Notamacropus eugenii: one gene and its partner. The protein of the gene in region 2 interacts with the protein of the main gene of each other region in a pairwise test. Links are inferred from orthologs where the notes say so. Each region holds a gene or a part of one and is shown on either strand. Other genes may lie near its edges.

What was found.
Region 1: the proteins of PSMF1 (region 2) and FBXO7 interact in binary tests that used the Homo sapiens proteins (3 or more experiments, as listed by UniProt). The link is inferred for Notamacropus eugenii from reciprocal best matches to the Homo sapiens genes PSMF1 and FBXO7.

What each region holds. Positions count from the first base shown.
Region 1 is NC_092874.1:289,989,712-289,996,721, forward strand, and holds the start of FBXO7 (F-box only protein 7), read left to right. Parts: upstream 1-3,914; 5' UTR 3,915-4,114; coding exon 4,115-4,236; intron 4,237-4,701; coding exon of another isoform or gene 4,702-5,318; exon of another isoform or gene 5,319-5,487; intron 5,488-6,897; coding exon 6,898-7,010. Other genes in the region: uncharacterized protein, read right to left, coding at 2,820-3,054, 4,702-5,318. UniProt on the Homo sapiens protein: Substrate recognition component of a SCF (SKP1-CUL1-F-box protein) E3 ubiquitin-protein ligase complex which mediates the ubiquitination and subsequent proteasomal degradation of target proteins and plays a role in several biological processes such as cell cycle, cell proliferation, or maintenance of chromosome stability.
Region 2 is NC_092872.1:432,792,046-432,799,425, reverse strand, and holds the start of PSMF1 (proteasome inhibitor PI31 subunit), read right to left. Parts: upstream 3,024-7,380; 5' UTR 2,735-3,023; coding exon 2,606-2,734; intron 1-2,605. UniProt on the Homo sapiens protein: Plays an important role in control of proteasome function. Inhibits the hydrolysis of protein and peptide substrates by the 20S proteasome. Also inhibits the activation of the proteasome by the proteasome regulatory proteins PA700 and PA28.

The DNA of each region.
Region 1 (7,010 bases), on a different chromosome or scaffold from region 2:
GTATTCTTTATAGGCTATTTTAAGTTTGTGTTGGGTTGAATGGTCTTTGAGGCTCTCAAAGACTGTTTTGTCTCCACACAAGCCAGATAATGTCACAAACAGTGGCTCTCAGTCCTCTGAGAAATGCTCTGAAGCCATAAGAAAAAAGCCAGGCCCAAGGCTCATCCAGCCTTCAGGGTTAAGAATGATGCTCTTGTGTGGTGCACAAATCAGGCCTTTCTGAAACTGGAATGAGTGGAGCAGTGATAACACGGAGCATGTGAAGGTTTCCATTTTATTTCTTGAAATAAACTTGGCCTGACTGGGCTGGTCCCCTAGTGCCAAAGTGGAGTGACATGAAATACTTGTAATCCCTCTAATAGTTAACAAGAGGCCTACTTAGCCATAGCCAGCGAAGGATGTTCAGAGTATGGAAGAAGGGATGTTTGTCCAGACAAAGTGTGGACGCCCTTAAGCTGGGGTTCCCAGTCTTGCTCATGCTATGGCCCAAACAAAGCATCTGGGAGTCTCCCAGTTCCCCTTTTTGCACCCCACTTACCAATAGCTTTAACCTCAGTCCCTGGAGCCAGTTTTCAAGGACAGTTTCAGTACCTTTGGCGGAAAAATTATTTCTTTCTGTTCTTCAAAGATGGTGATTTCATTTGTGGGGTGATCTCTTCTCCCACAATCCCCTCTGTGATCCTGTAGATGGCTTTGAAGAATGACTGTGGTCAGAAAACTTATCACTCGGTAAACCAACCTGATGTTTATATGATTCTAGATCCAGAGTAAAAAAAGCCTGCAGAGACCACATCCAACCTCATCATTTTACAGATGAGGAACCTGAGGGAGGTCATAGAATCCTAGATCAACTGGACGGGAACCAGAGGCCATTCCACTGAACCCCCTCATTTTATAGATGAGGAATCCAAGGCTCAGAGGGCTGGAGTGACTTTCCTAGGGTGACATTGTCAGAGAGACTTGAACTCACATCCTATGACCCCAGAGCCAATCTTCTAGGTTGGTACTTGGACAACAGACATGTAATTCATCACTGGGTTTGTACTCAGAATCTTTTCATTTGCTAGAACCTGCCTGTGTTTGTATTCTAGTGGCAGATCCTTCAAGGCCCCAGGGTCATGCCCTTGTCATGATGCAACATTAGGGGAAGATTGTAATTAAGGATAATATATGGGATTATATGACAAGTGAATGGAGAAGCAGTGGGAAATAATGGATAAAGTACTGGCGCTGGAGTCAAGGAAGAGCTGAGTTCAAATTTGACCTCAGACACCAGCTACGTAACCATGGGCAAGTAATTTCTCTGTGCCTTGGTTTCCTCATTTGTAAAATGAGGGAGTTTGATGAGGTGGCCTTTAAGTAAGGTCCAAACAGAGCTATATGAGAAACTCAGAAAGGAAGAGATCACTAAAGATTGGAGGAATCAGTGAAGGCTTTTATAGCAGCAGTGGCTGACTTAGGATTTCAGCAGGCTCAGACATGGACGATGAGAGGCAGCGTGCCCCTGGACAAGATTGGGAATGAGAGGTACTGTGCTCCACAACAACCCTGGGAGGGAGGGGCTGTTATTATCCCCAGTTTACAGTTGGGGAAACTGAGGCAGACAGCAGTTAAATGACTTTTCCAAGGTTACACAACCAGTAAGCGTCTGAGGCTGGATTTGAGCTCAGGTTTTGTTGACGCGAGGCCTGGTGCCTTATTTCCACGCTGGCCACTTCCACACTGGCTACTGTCCAAATTTAGTTCCTCCTTAACTGAAAAATGGGGATAATAGTAGCACTTACTGTCTAGGGTTGTTGGCAGGATCAGATAAGATAATATAGTGTCTGGCCCACAGGACGTGTGATATAAGTAATAATATAAATATTATTACTATTAAGTTTGGTTAATTACTATTATGTTATGCTTTTAATTACCATTACGTTTATTAAATTTATTAATGTAATAATAAAATACAAGTATGCAACATAATACAAATCTATATAATACAGAAACATAAATATAACAGAATAAGGAAATTAATAATATTAACGTAACATATTATTATAGCTCCAAAGTACACTCTCCTCTTGATCCTGCACCTGTGCATTTGTTTCTAAGCGGAAGCAAGGAGGAGAGCACTGGAAAAGTGGACAATGCAGGTATTGCCATCTATAGGTAGAAACTTTATTACAATGGTTTTTACCTTAATCTGGATACAAGACAACATGCAGAGAAATCTTATTACAAAAATTGGATCACCATTCTTAACTTTGCTCCCCCAATTTTTAAACAAAATTATCTTTTTTTCTGAATTTAGCAAATACCCAAAAAGAACACTTTTGCATATGAAGATTTGAGAAAGGATTATATGTGAAAGCTTTTTTTTGCATGTGTAATCATTCCAATATGTTACTTTCAAAACTATCCTACTTTTCTACGTTTCCTTCGGAACTTCCTTCTCCTCTCTTCTGTACATTTTAAAAAACGTTGCAATGACTTTCTTTTTTGGGGGGAGCCCTATCACTAGCTCCCTCAGCTCTCCCCCCAAATAAACACAATCCTTATAATACACACGCATAAACAAAACAAATTCCCACATCCCAACATGGGTTTCATTCTGCATCTTGAGTCTTTCATCCCTTTACAAAGAGATAGTGAAGAGCTTCACCCCAAGCCCCCTGGACACGATCAGAGTCCTCAAGTCTTTCAAACTTGTGACAACAGAGTTGTTATTACAGAAGCTGTTCCACCGATCCTATTCATTCTTCATCATTTCCAGGATGTTTACAAATTTCTCTGAAACCATCCTTTCCATCATCATCTAATCTAGCCCAGTCCTATTCATTGATGTGCCCTATTGATCCAGCCATTTCCCTACTGATGGGCACAGCCTTAGTTTTTGCCAACATGCAAAAGACTGCTATGAACACTTCTGTACGTGCGGGCCCTTTCCCTCTTTCTTCTATTTCTTTGAAATATTCCATATTCCAGTGGGCAGAGGGTATGTGCAGTTTAGGGGCACAGCTCCAAGTTGCTTTCCAGAAGGGCTGGACTCTGGGAACACTGTGTACTCTAAAAAGAGAAAAGTAGGTGTATGGTTTCACATGGAACTTTTTTGGGGGGTCGTCCTGCTATGAGTATAGAAATGCTCTTTTCTGGTGGATAGGCTCAGAATAGAAAAATAAGAAAAAATTCATGTTGATTGATTAAAGTTGGCATGTCTTTTTTCCTCTAGGTTAACCCAGCCCCCACCCCATTTTTGGGGCTCCCTTCAAAAGCACCTTTTTCAAGAGGCCTTTCCTGACCCCCCCATTACAACTGTCCAAAAAGGGAAATGGGTTTTCTTATTAAGTCAGATTTACCGCTGGATGGTGCTAAATTAAAATATGAAACTAAAATTTAATATTAATTTAATAAATTTAATCCAACACCCTGATTTTGCGAAGGAGGAAACTGAAAGCCAGAGGTGAGTGATAAGCCAGCCTTTAGGTAAGTATTTAACGATCGGATCTCGTCTGCTCCTCACAGCCCCCCTGGGGGGAGGTGCTCATGCCCCCTTTTTACATGAGGCTACACGGCTCGTGCAGGGCTGGATTTGAACTCGGGGCTTGGGAGGCGTCAGGGGCGGGATTTGGGAACCTGCCCCCAGCCGGGCGCGGGCTGCATGCCCACGTCTCGGGCACGCCCGCGGGGACTCGGGCTGGGCCACGGGATGCCCAGACTCTGCGCTCACAGCAGCGGTACTCCTGGAGACCGGCCGAGGGAGGCTCGCGCCTGCGCAGTGCCCTCAGGAGACGGCGGAGGTGTAGGGGCCGGTGTCCGGCGCTCCTCCCCCTCCCGCCCGCTCTCGAGGGCGCGCACGCAGCACAGCGGCGTCCCTCGGCCGCGCGCGCGCGCTCTCGGGGCCGCGGCCGCTGCGGCCCCGCCACTCCCCCCCGGCGCCCGGGGTCGGCGGCCCGACAGCAGGGGGCGCCCTCATGGGAGGGGGCGGGGGCGGGGCGGAGCTCCCGTGCCCCGGACCGAGGCGGGCGGTGGACAAGGCGGCTGAGGAGGCGGCGGCGGCAGCGTCCCGGTCCCTATCCTTGTCCTCGGCCCCGCGGCGGCCCGAGGAGCGACAAGGAGCCGCGGCGCCATGAAGCTGCGGGTCCGCGTTCGGAAGCGGACGGAGCCGCTGGAACTGCCAGGCGCCGAACCGACGCTCGGGGAGCTGCGCGCGCACCTGCGCCAGGCCCTGCTCCCCGCCTGGGGCTACAGGTGCTGCCGCCAGCTACCGCCTGGGAGGGAGGGGGAGGGAGGGGCGCATGCGCGGGGCCGCGAGAGAGAGGAAGGGGCGCGTGCGCGGGGCCGCGCGAGAGAGGAAGGGGCGCGTGCGCGGGGCCGCGAGAGAGAGGAAGGGGCGCGTGCGCGGGGCCGCGAGAGAGGAAGGGGTGCATGCGCTTTCCTACCTAGGCGCAGGGGAGAAGGGGGACGTGGTCTGGGAGGCCCTGGGCTCGGGTGCGGATGTACCCCTCCGCCGAATGTACCCCTCCGCCGAATGTGTGCGTGTGAGCGCATTGCACTTGGCATCCGGGGCCTAAGGCTACACTGAGCGTGTGCCCGGGGTTCGCATCCGTGTGGCCCACGTGCGGGTATCTGTGCCCCCCGGGGTGTTGGCGAGCGACCCGCTGTGCGTATCAGTGCGCGTGCGCCCCTCCGGGCACGTGGGGCTCCCCTTCGTACCTCGGGGTCCGAAGGTTGTGTGATGCCGGGGGCCGTAGAGGCAAGCCCGCCGCACGGAGGAGCCTCGGGATGGAGGCCCCGGTGCGGGGCCGGGGTGGCCGAGCGGGCCGGCCAAGAGCCGTGCCCGGGCCCCCTAGTAATGGGAAGGAGCCCCGCGAGGAGTGGCCGGGGTGACGAACTCGTGCAGCCCTGGTCCTGCCGTCTGAGAAGTAAATGAATGGCGAGGGCAGTGCCCGGCCCGGCGAGGGCAGGCGGGAGTGGTAGTTGTGGCCATTGCCGCCGGTGCCCCCAGATGCTCCCGTCCGGACCCCTGCTGAGTTGGGCAGCCCCCCCGGGCCTGAGCTTGTAAACAGACCGGGCGGTTTCACTTTTCTGCCCTCTTCTCGTCCCTGCGAGGAAAAGGAAACTGGAAGCAGAGGCTCCTTCCCGTGTCCCCCTCTGATAAGGGGATGCGCCGAGAAGGCGGTTGAGGCACGTCTGGAGGGTGGGAGGCGGAGGCGGAGGAGGTGCCAGGGCCCTGGTGCTGCCCAGAGATAGCGGCCCCGCCGGGAGCCCGCGGCGGTGCGTGGGACTGCGTGGAACCACGTGGGGACGAGGCTGAGTGGCCGCATGTCCATCTCTTTTATGTTAGGTTTTTGTCGATCCCTTTTTTCACGACCCAGATTCCCCCTCCATCTCTCCCCCAATTCCTTTCCAGAGAGTTACCTCTTGTAACAAAAAGAGGAGAGAAAAAGAGTAAGTAAAGTCAGTATATAGTAAAAAAATGTGACTTGATTGCAGTCCCTGCAAAGGCCTTTGGGATGTAGGAGGGTCTTTAGGCCTTTACGTCCCTTCTGCAGCTTAAATGTCTGTTCTGTTTTTAGTGAACACAATGTTAACAATCCCCGCAAAGACCTTCCACAGCAAAAACAAAAACCTCCTGCCATAGTCGGTGCTTTCCCCTTGGTTACATTACACACATGAGCTGTGCTCCTCCCTTCCCCCACTGCACAAAGTCCCTGAGGGCGGAAAGCCCCTTCACCTGCCTGCTGAGCTGCGCGGACCCCCTGCTGTCCCTGTGAAGGGCCGGGAGGGGGGAGCGCGGTCTGGCCGGGTTCTCTGCTGTGTCACAACATCGCTGCTGCGGTGTGTGCTCTTCTGCACCCCTCTTTTCTGATGAACCGTTCCTCCAAAGGCATCCGTTGATTTGTTGGTTCTTTTGGAGAGGTTTTTCCCTATTCCTGCCAAAGTTGGCACCGTGGTTATTTGAGCAGCTGGCAGGTTTTCTGCATTTTGTTTACAGAAGCATTTTGCAGATAGAAGCAGTCGCTTGTTTTCTGATAACCAGGAGTAATCTCCAGCCATTTAAATTTACAATTTAAAAATATGTATCACTAGCCATACAAATTAGCCCCTGAATCTGCTGAAATAGAAGGAATTTAATAAATAAAAGAAAGATCAAAAGCTAGTTTTCTTAAGCAATTTAGGAAATGAAGTTCTATGAAGAAGGAAAATTCTTTCCGCAGAATCTGACAAATGATGTTTTAAGTCCCCAGTTAACCCTCATAGACGTTGGTTGCCACTTCATCCAAAGGCTCCATAAATGTGCTTAATGGATCGTCTTATAATTTTTAAAAGTTATTGTTTACAACAGTGTTGGTGTTGGTCTTGTCATCTGTGATGGAGCTGTGATTGGGGTTCTTTGACTCTGACAGAGCCTGCTTTTGGGCCCAGAGAGGGCTGCTGGCCCTCTTGTTTAAAGATGATGCTCCTGACTCACCATCTGGGATGCCCGTACTTGGGGCTATTTGTGTAACAGTGGTGATGAATTTGCAGCATTTGCACACTCTCACTAGGCCTCCTTTGTGATTAATGGTGTACACCTGGGAAATAATGCCTGGGTCAGGTTGGAGATGCAGTTGTTCCTGGAGACAGAGGAAAGGAAGCTGCTTTGTGAAGGGATTGAACCCGTGGCCTCAGCTTCTCTAGCGTCATGATTTCACCAGTTATGTGAATCTTCTGAACGTTTCCTGTGGCAGAATCAGAATCACTTTATAACTGTAATGATACAGTTCTAAGTGATACGAGCAAGGCTTCTGTCAGCTCCCAGTCCCTGGGGTTTGCTTTCTGCGGTCATACCACACGTTTGCTGTGATTCTGAATGCATGATTAAAGCTCATGGTATTAACTGTCTCCTTATCCGTTTCATTTTGGCAGTTCTGACGTCCCGTTTTCAGTAACACTGAACAGCAGGGATGCCCTCACTGAAGATGAAAATACCTTGGCTTCCTATGGGATTGTTTCTGGGGACTTGATCTGTTTGGTTCTTG
Region 2 (7,380 bases):
TTCCCTTAACCTCTCAGGGTCTCAGTTTCCTCATTTATAAAATGAGGGTGTTGGATTAGAGGGTCATCTTCAAGGTCACTTCCAGGTCTAGATCTATAATCCTATATTATCCTGCTTTCCACTTCAAATCAATTGGTAAAACTGTAGTATTTTAATAAATTGGCTGGTGACAATCAACATGATATAGTAGAATCTAGATCGGGGTGCCTTGAAGCTTCACTTGTTCTGTGAAGTTTGGATTCAAAGGGCTGCACTTCCGGACCTATAAGGCCCAAAGTGGCCTCGAGGCTGAAGGTTTCCCACTCCTGAAGAGTCATTAGGTCTGGATTTAGATGTTCTAGTTCAGTAATTACTAGTTATGTTGATCTTACATATGTCATTTCCCTTTTTGAGACTTAGTTTTCTCATCTATTACTGGTACTTCTTTACCTTACAGCTGTTGTCAGGACAGCATCTGTAAACCATAGAAATGTGAGTTATTATTAACTGGCTAATAAAGTGTGAGGAAAGCAAAATGGAAAAAGTAGATTTTTATTTGAGGGTTCTTTTGCTAAATAATTTCTTTCAAATAATATTCAATAACTGTTGCCACCAAACAAAATTTATTAGGGATCTTCTGGTTCCTTCATTTTTCCACCCCCTCCACCTATTGGCAGGGAGAAGGGAAAGGTTTACTTAGGAGTTTTTAAAACAGTAGCTAACTGTGGTCAGCCCTTCCCCAAGCAAAGTGGAATATGGATTGGAGGACAAACCACTCCAAAATTCATCTCTTACACTTGCCAAAAAGCCAGAAAACAAAAACAAAAAACAAGATGAAAGGTCAGCTTAACCTAAGTCCCTAAACCAATCTCAAAAGATAAACAGACCAGCCATATGCCTGACTTTATCAAACCATGACACAAACCAACAGAAGGTACAACCCATGCCATTAATTTGAGTTCAAATGTTGATCCTTCTCAAAGGGACTGATTTAAACTTGTTTTTTTCCTGAACTTAAACACTAAATAAAACAAACATTTCCATTCTACAACATAACAGAAAAATAGGATTATGTATAAAACTGCAAATTTCTATTATATACAGAGGCTGTTTTCCTTTTAAGCTGTAATAAAGTGAACACATAACTTTCAAATCTGTCTTGTCTGTTTTCCTCCTGACTTTCCTTCTGTTCTTCAGAACAACACTCCCATACTGGCTTTGTCTAAAAATTTATGGTTCATTCTGCACCTTCAATCCATCATATAGGGGCTAATTTGGCAACAGGATCAGGGATAGGAGAGAAAAGGGATAGAAACAAGAAGCCACCAGAATATTACTTCCTTAAGGAGGAAAAGCAGCTTCTTTGGCCTTGAATGGCCACAAGAGAGATGTTAGGTAGAAAAACCCAAAGTCTTTTGATTTGATTTTAGAATGCCATCATTGGCTCAAAGTAAGAAGAGACTCTAGTAGGGATTTTATCATTCCATCCCCCTTGCCAGCACCCTTGACTGGTGGTCACTCAGCCTCTGGCTTGGACTCAAAGTGAAGGGGAACTCAAAATAAAAAAAAAAAAGCTGCATGCCCTAAGTATATGCCAATGACTATTTGGAATTGAGAAAGTATAGTGGAAGGGAGAAAACATGTTTGGCTGTGTGGAGAACTCATGGAGAGGTGGTGGAGAGGCACCAAGTATGAGTGTTTTTGAAGAAGTATTGGATTGTGTGTGTGTGTGTTTTCCTGGTCTCCAGTAAGGAAAGAGTAGGAAGACAGTAAGAGATGGTGTGACAAAGTGTAACGAGAGCTGATTTAGAGTTGGAGGACATGGGTTTGAAACCACTTCACTGCTGGGCCACCACTTCCTCATCTAAATGAGAGTTTGAAGTGACCACCTCTAAACCTCCTTCCAGCTGTAAATCTATGATTCTGTTCCCACTTCATGTGAGCGTGTGTGAGGATTTAGGGGAACGTGCGGAGGGGCAGCGCACTGGGTGTGGGACAGTCTGGCCGTTTCAGGCATTGCTCACTGTGAGAAGGGGAGGGCAGCAGGCCCGCCATACAAGTTTCCTAACTGAAGTAGTCAGTCACCTAGTGTTTAACAGATACTACGTGCCAGGTACTGCGCTAAGCCCTAAGAATACAAAGAAAGGGGACAAGGAGCTCAGTCTAGGGAGGGAGAGACAACACCCCACACGTAGAGGATAAATTGGGGAGTCTCGCAAGGCAAGCCCCGAGACGAAAAAGGGCTTGGGAAAAGCTTCTTACAGACAGCTCAGACTTGAGGGGGCCAGCGGGAGCCAAGAGGGAGAGCACGCGGAGGGTGCCCGCAGGCGGGGGAGAGGGGCAGGGGGCGCCCAGGCCCGGGCCCGAGGAAGGCTGGTGTGTGGCAGCCTGTGGGCAGACGCGGAGCGCCGGGAGGAGGGTGTTCGTAAGCGCGTCGCAGCCCTGTGTGCCGGGGACCCAGCGGTACAGGGTGTTGTGGGGGAGGGTCTCGGTCCCGGGTAAGCAGCGTGTCTGGAGGGGGGGGGTCAGACCAGGCTGCACCCGCTCCGCACCAAGGAGTCAGGGTACGTGAATGCGTGTATGTGCCCGGTGCCCGGGGGAGCGGGTCTCCGGGCCGGGACGGTACCTGGTCGCCGGTGCCCAGGCCTCGGTAGTCGTGGGTGATGAGCTCCCAGTGCAGAAAGCAGACAAGCGCGTCCTGGGGGCAGGTGATCCCCGGCGCTGCCGAGGCGTACAGCAACTCCAGGCCGGCCATGACTTCCTGCCGGCCAGCCGCCAGTCTACACAAATCCCAAGTCAGCCCCGCATCCCGGTCCAACGGCCCGGCCTCCCAGGGGGCCCCGCCTCCGCGGCCGAAGGGAAACGACGCGCAGACTGCGCAGGCCTGGGCTCCCGCAACCAAGGGACCGGAAGGAAACTCGGTGCAGCCTCCTCGGGTTCCGGAGCCGGAAAGGAACCCTCTCCTGGGTGTTACGGTCCGGCACGCGCATGCGCGCGCGCACGCGCTGGTATCTGGGCCGCGGCCCCCCGAGGGCAGGCGGGAAAGGGATGGCGGTGTGGCGGTGGGAGCGGCCGGCGCGTGGCGCGCGTCTCCTTAGGTCCCGATGGAGGGCTCTCCAGACGTCTCGAGCTTGTGTTTCCCAGGAGGGAATTGGAGAGGAGGGGACGGGAGAGCGTGAGCTCTGACCGCCGCTGTAAGCCGATCCAGACTAGCCCAGACTGAGGTTTTGATTGAGGGGGGATCCAGGCAGATGCCGACGACTCAGGGTTAGTTACGTCGTGAAACCAATACAGTGGAAGTCAGGGGCGATGTCCCCTTTTATCTCTCCCATTTCCCCTTCCGGTCTACCGAGGAAACAGTTTTCTCAGGGAATCCCTAGCTACTATGTCAGTTATAAATGGTCCGGACCTACTGACTCCCAGGAATGACTCCTCAGGCCTCAAAGAGACCTGAAGGCACTTAAGGACAGTAGATTCTGAAGGCTTGGTGTTCTATCAAATAGAGAGAGGGAGGGAGGGAGGGGGAGAGAAAGGGAGAGAGGAGAAAGAGCGAGAAAGAGGAGTGAGAGAGAATGAGGGAAAGAGTGAAAGAGGAGAGAGAGAGGGAGAGAGAGACAGAGAGAGAAAGAGGGAAAGAGAAGAAAGAGAGAGAGAGAAAGCGAGAAAGAGGAGTGAGAGAGAATGAGAGAAAGAGCGAAAGAGGAGAGAGAGAGGGAGAGAGAGAAAGAGGGAGAGAGGAAAAAGAGAGAGAGAGAAAGTGAGAAAGAGGAGTGAGAGAGAATGAGGGAAAGAGTGAAAGAGGGGAGAGAGAGAGGGAGAGTGAGACAGAGAGAGAAAGAGGGAGAGAGGAGAAAGAGAGAGAGAGAAAGCGAGAAAGAGGAGTGAGAGAGAATGAGAGAAAGAGCGAAAGAGGAGAGAGAGAGAGACAGAGAGAGAAAGAGGGAGAGAGGAGAAAGAGAGAGAGAAAGCGAGAAAGAGGAGTGAGAGAGAATGAGAGAAAGAGTGAAAGAGGAGAGAAAGAGAGAGGAGAGAGGGAGAGAGAAAGAAAGAGGGAGAGAGAGGAGAAAGAGGGAGAAAGAAGAGTGAGAGAGAATGAAAGAGTGAAAGAGGAGAGAGAGAGGGAGAGAGAGACAGAGAGAGAAAGAGGGAGAGAGGAGAGAGAAAGCGAGAAAGAGGATTGAGAGAGAATGAGAGAAAGAGCAAAAGAGGAGAGAGAGAGGGAGAGAGAGACAGAAAGAGGGAGAGAGGAGAAAGAGAGAGAGAGAAAGCGAGAAAGAGGAGTGAGAGAGAATGAGAGAAAGAGCGAAAGAGGAGAGAGAGAGGGAGAAAGAGACAGAGAGAGAAAGAGGGAGAGAGGAGAAAGAGAAAGCGAGAAAGAGGAGTGAGAGAGAATGAGAGAAAGAGTGAAAGAGGAGAGAAAGAGAGAGGAGAGAGGGAGAGAGAAAGAAAGAGGGAGAGAGGAGAAAGAGAGAAAGCGAGAAAGAGGAGTGAGAGAGAATGAGAGAAAGAGCAAAAGAGGAGAGAGAGAGGGAGAGAGAGACAGAGAGAGAAAGAGGGAGAGAGGAGAAAGAGAGAGAAAGCGAGAAAGAGGAGTGAGAGAGAATGAGAGAAAGAGTGAAAGAGGAGAGAAAGAGAGGAGAGAGGGAGAGAGAAAGAAAGAGGGAGAGAGAGGAGAAAGAGGGAGAAAGAAGAGTGAGAGAGAATGAAAGTGAAAGAGGAGAGAAAGAGGGAGGGAGTGAGAGAGGAGAAAGTGAGAAAGAGGAGTTGAGAGAGTATGAGAGAGAGGGAGAGTGAGAGTGAGAGAGAGGAGAAAGAGCGAAAAAGAGGAGTGAGAGAGAATGAGAGAAAGAGCGAAAGAGGAGGGAGAGAGAGAGACAGAGAGAGAGAAGAATTGGCAGACTCTTGGGGACAGACCCCTCCTGTAAGAAGGTCTTACAGAGAAATCAGTACATGGGGAAGGAATGAGGGGGAAGGGTGAACATTCAGTCTCTCGGTTAGTAACTCATTCTCATGTCCATTTGATCAGCACATCCTATCTTAGGCATGACTTCTAGAATGCAATTGCCTGGTTTCTGAAAATATACCTTGGGCTTTCTGGGGATGGGCTTGTTTCCAGAGCAGCTTCTCCTAGCAGATCTACTTCTCTGGTTCAATTCACTCACAGAGATTCTTAGATGTTTCTGCTAAAATCTGCCAGTTACAAGATGCAATACAGTTTAGCACAGCCTCTGAAATTTTACTTTTAATTTAACTTGTTACATATCCCATGCTGTTCCTATCTTTATTTAAACCCTGTATCCCATAGATACTGCCCACAACAGACTGCAGGAAAAGTTTTAAAAAGAAATCCGTGAGGATCTGGCTTATAAAATAAGCTCTTCTGGTTAAAGATTTAATATTCACCAATGCAGACATATAAGCTAAGGTTGAGTGCTTTTTAAAATTGCCGTTGACTCCACCACCGTTTAACTTCTTTAGACTAGAGTTCATTTCGTTTATTTTTTACTTCATATTCAATCCTCACAAAGGGAAAAACTTCAGTTTTACTATCTATAACTGCCCTGTGATATAAGTTAGCACATTGTTATGTTGATATGTTTAGGAAATTCAAATGACTGAGCAGAACTACTTGGTTTGTACAGAAGATGAACAGTATAATTGTATATCTAAAATCCTGAACCCAATTTTTAGAATTTGTTATTAGAATGTGCTCGAGGCCTGTATAGCCCATTGAAATAATTTCTATTTTACCTATCTATCTACCTACCTATCTATCTATCATTGCTCTCTCAAAAATTTCCACTCATTTTCCTCTCTAATTAAGTCCCCCCCTCCTTAGGTTAATTTCCTCCTGAAGAGGATGAACAGCACTCTTGGAAAGTAAATGACTTCTGTGCCTACATGCAATGGCTATGCAAATGAATTTACCTAAGAGATACTTATTTTACACCAATTGTAATAAAAACGACTGGGGTGAGATGTGTAAACAAGCTACATAATTAATTCCAAATTGTATATAGAGTACAGTATATGTCAAGTGAGTTGTCTATGTAAAATTTGGTCGGTTAAAACCATGGTTCAAATGAAATAGATATTACACGAATATAGACTACTGCTCTTAACTACCATTAAAACTATGAAGACATATTTAAGGTAGCTCTTATATAGTTTGCTTGCATTTCAGGGAATATTCTGTAGGCAAGTTTATTTCAGGGACCTAACCTGATCCATGATTATATAACTATTAGCAGACAGATAAACCCAAGTACTCTTTAACTTAGTTATTAAGATATGGGAAGGACTATAACTTCAGAATGAATAACTTAGAACTTATATACTTGCATTTTATTACGGTGACTTAGATGTCAGTATTAGTCTATAGATAATAGAATAAGTATTATGTTTATACTTTTACTGCTCTTCTGCCATGATTATAGAAACTTACCATAGAAGGAAAAAAGGACATAGCTATAGTAACGGAAGGTGCTCCCCTAGCTCTGTGTTACTTCCAAGCAAGAGTCATATAGGTGACTTTTTGTATAGACAGTGTGCCACAGCCAGGTCCAGAATTAACCAGGTAGGAAAATTTCTTGTATGGGAAACTAAGTACAAAGGATCTTACCTTAGCCTTCCCAGGGTTACCTATTACCTTCTCTTCCTCTACCCCCACCCCCAAGTTCAGGGACAGATATCCATTGGTAGCAGTTTATAGATGTCATTTCCATTGGGCTACTGACATTATGGAGCATTTGATCAATGATATTTCTTGAGGACTATACCTGGAATCAGACACAGAATAATATTAATTGTGGTCCTACAGGATTTAACCTGAAGCAGCAAAATTTCACTCACTTTACTCAGCATCAGTTCATGTAAGTCTTTCCAGGTTTTTCTGAAATTTGCCTGCTTATCATTTCTTATAGCACAATAGTATTCCATTACATTCATATACCACAGCTTGTTCAGCCGTTCCTCACTTGATGGACATCTCCTCAATTTCCAATTTTTTACCATTGCAAAAGAGCTGCTATTAATATTTTTGTACATGTGGGTCCTTTTCCCTTTTTTATGATCTGTTTGGGATACAAGCCTAGTAGTGGTATTGCTGGATCAAAGGGTATGAACAGTTTTATAGCACTTTGGTCATATTTTCAAATTGTTCTCCAGAATGAGTGTATCAGTTCACAGCTCCACTAACAATATATTAGTGTTCCAATTTTCCTACATCTTCTCCAACACCCATCATTTTCCTTTTTCTGTCATATTAGTCAGTCTTCTAGGAGTGAAGTGGTACGACAGAGTTTTAATTTGCATCTCTCTAATCAATAGTGATTTAGAGCATTTTTCCCTGTGACAATAGATAGCTTTAATTTCTTCACCTGCAAACTGCCTGTTCATATT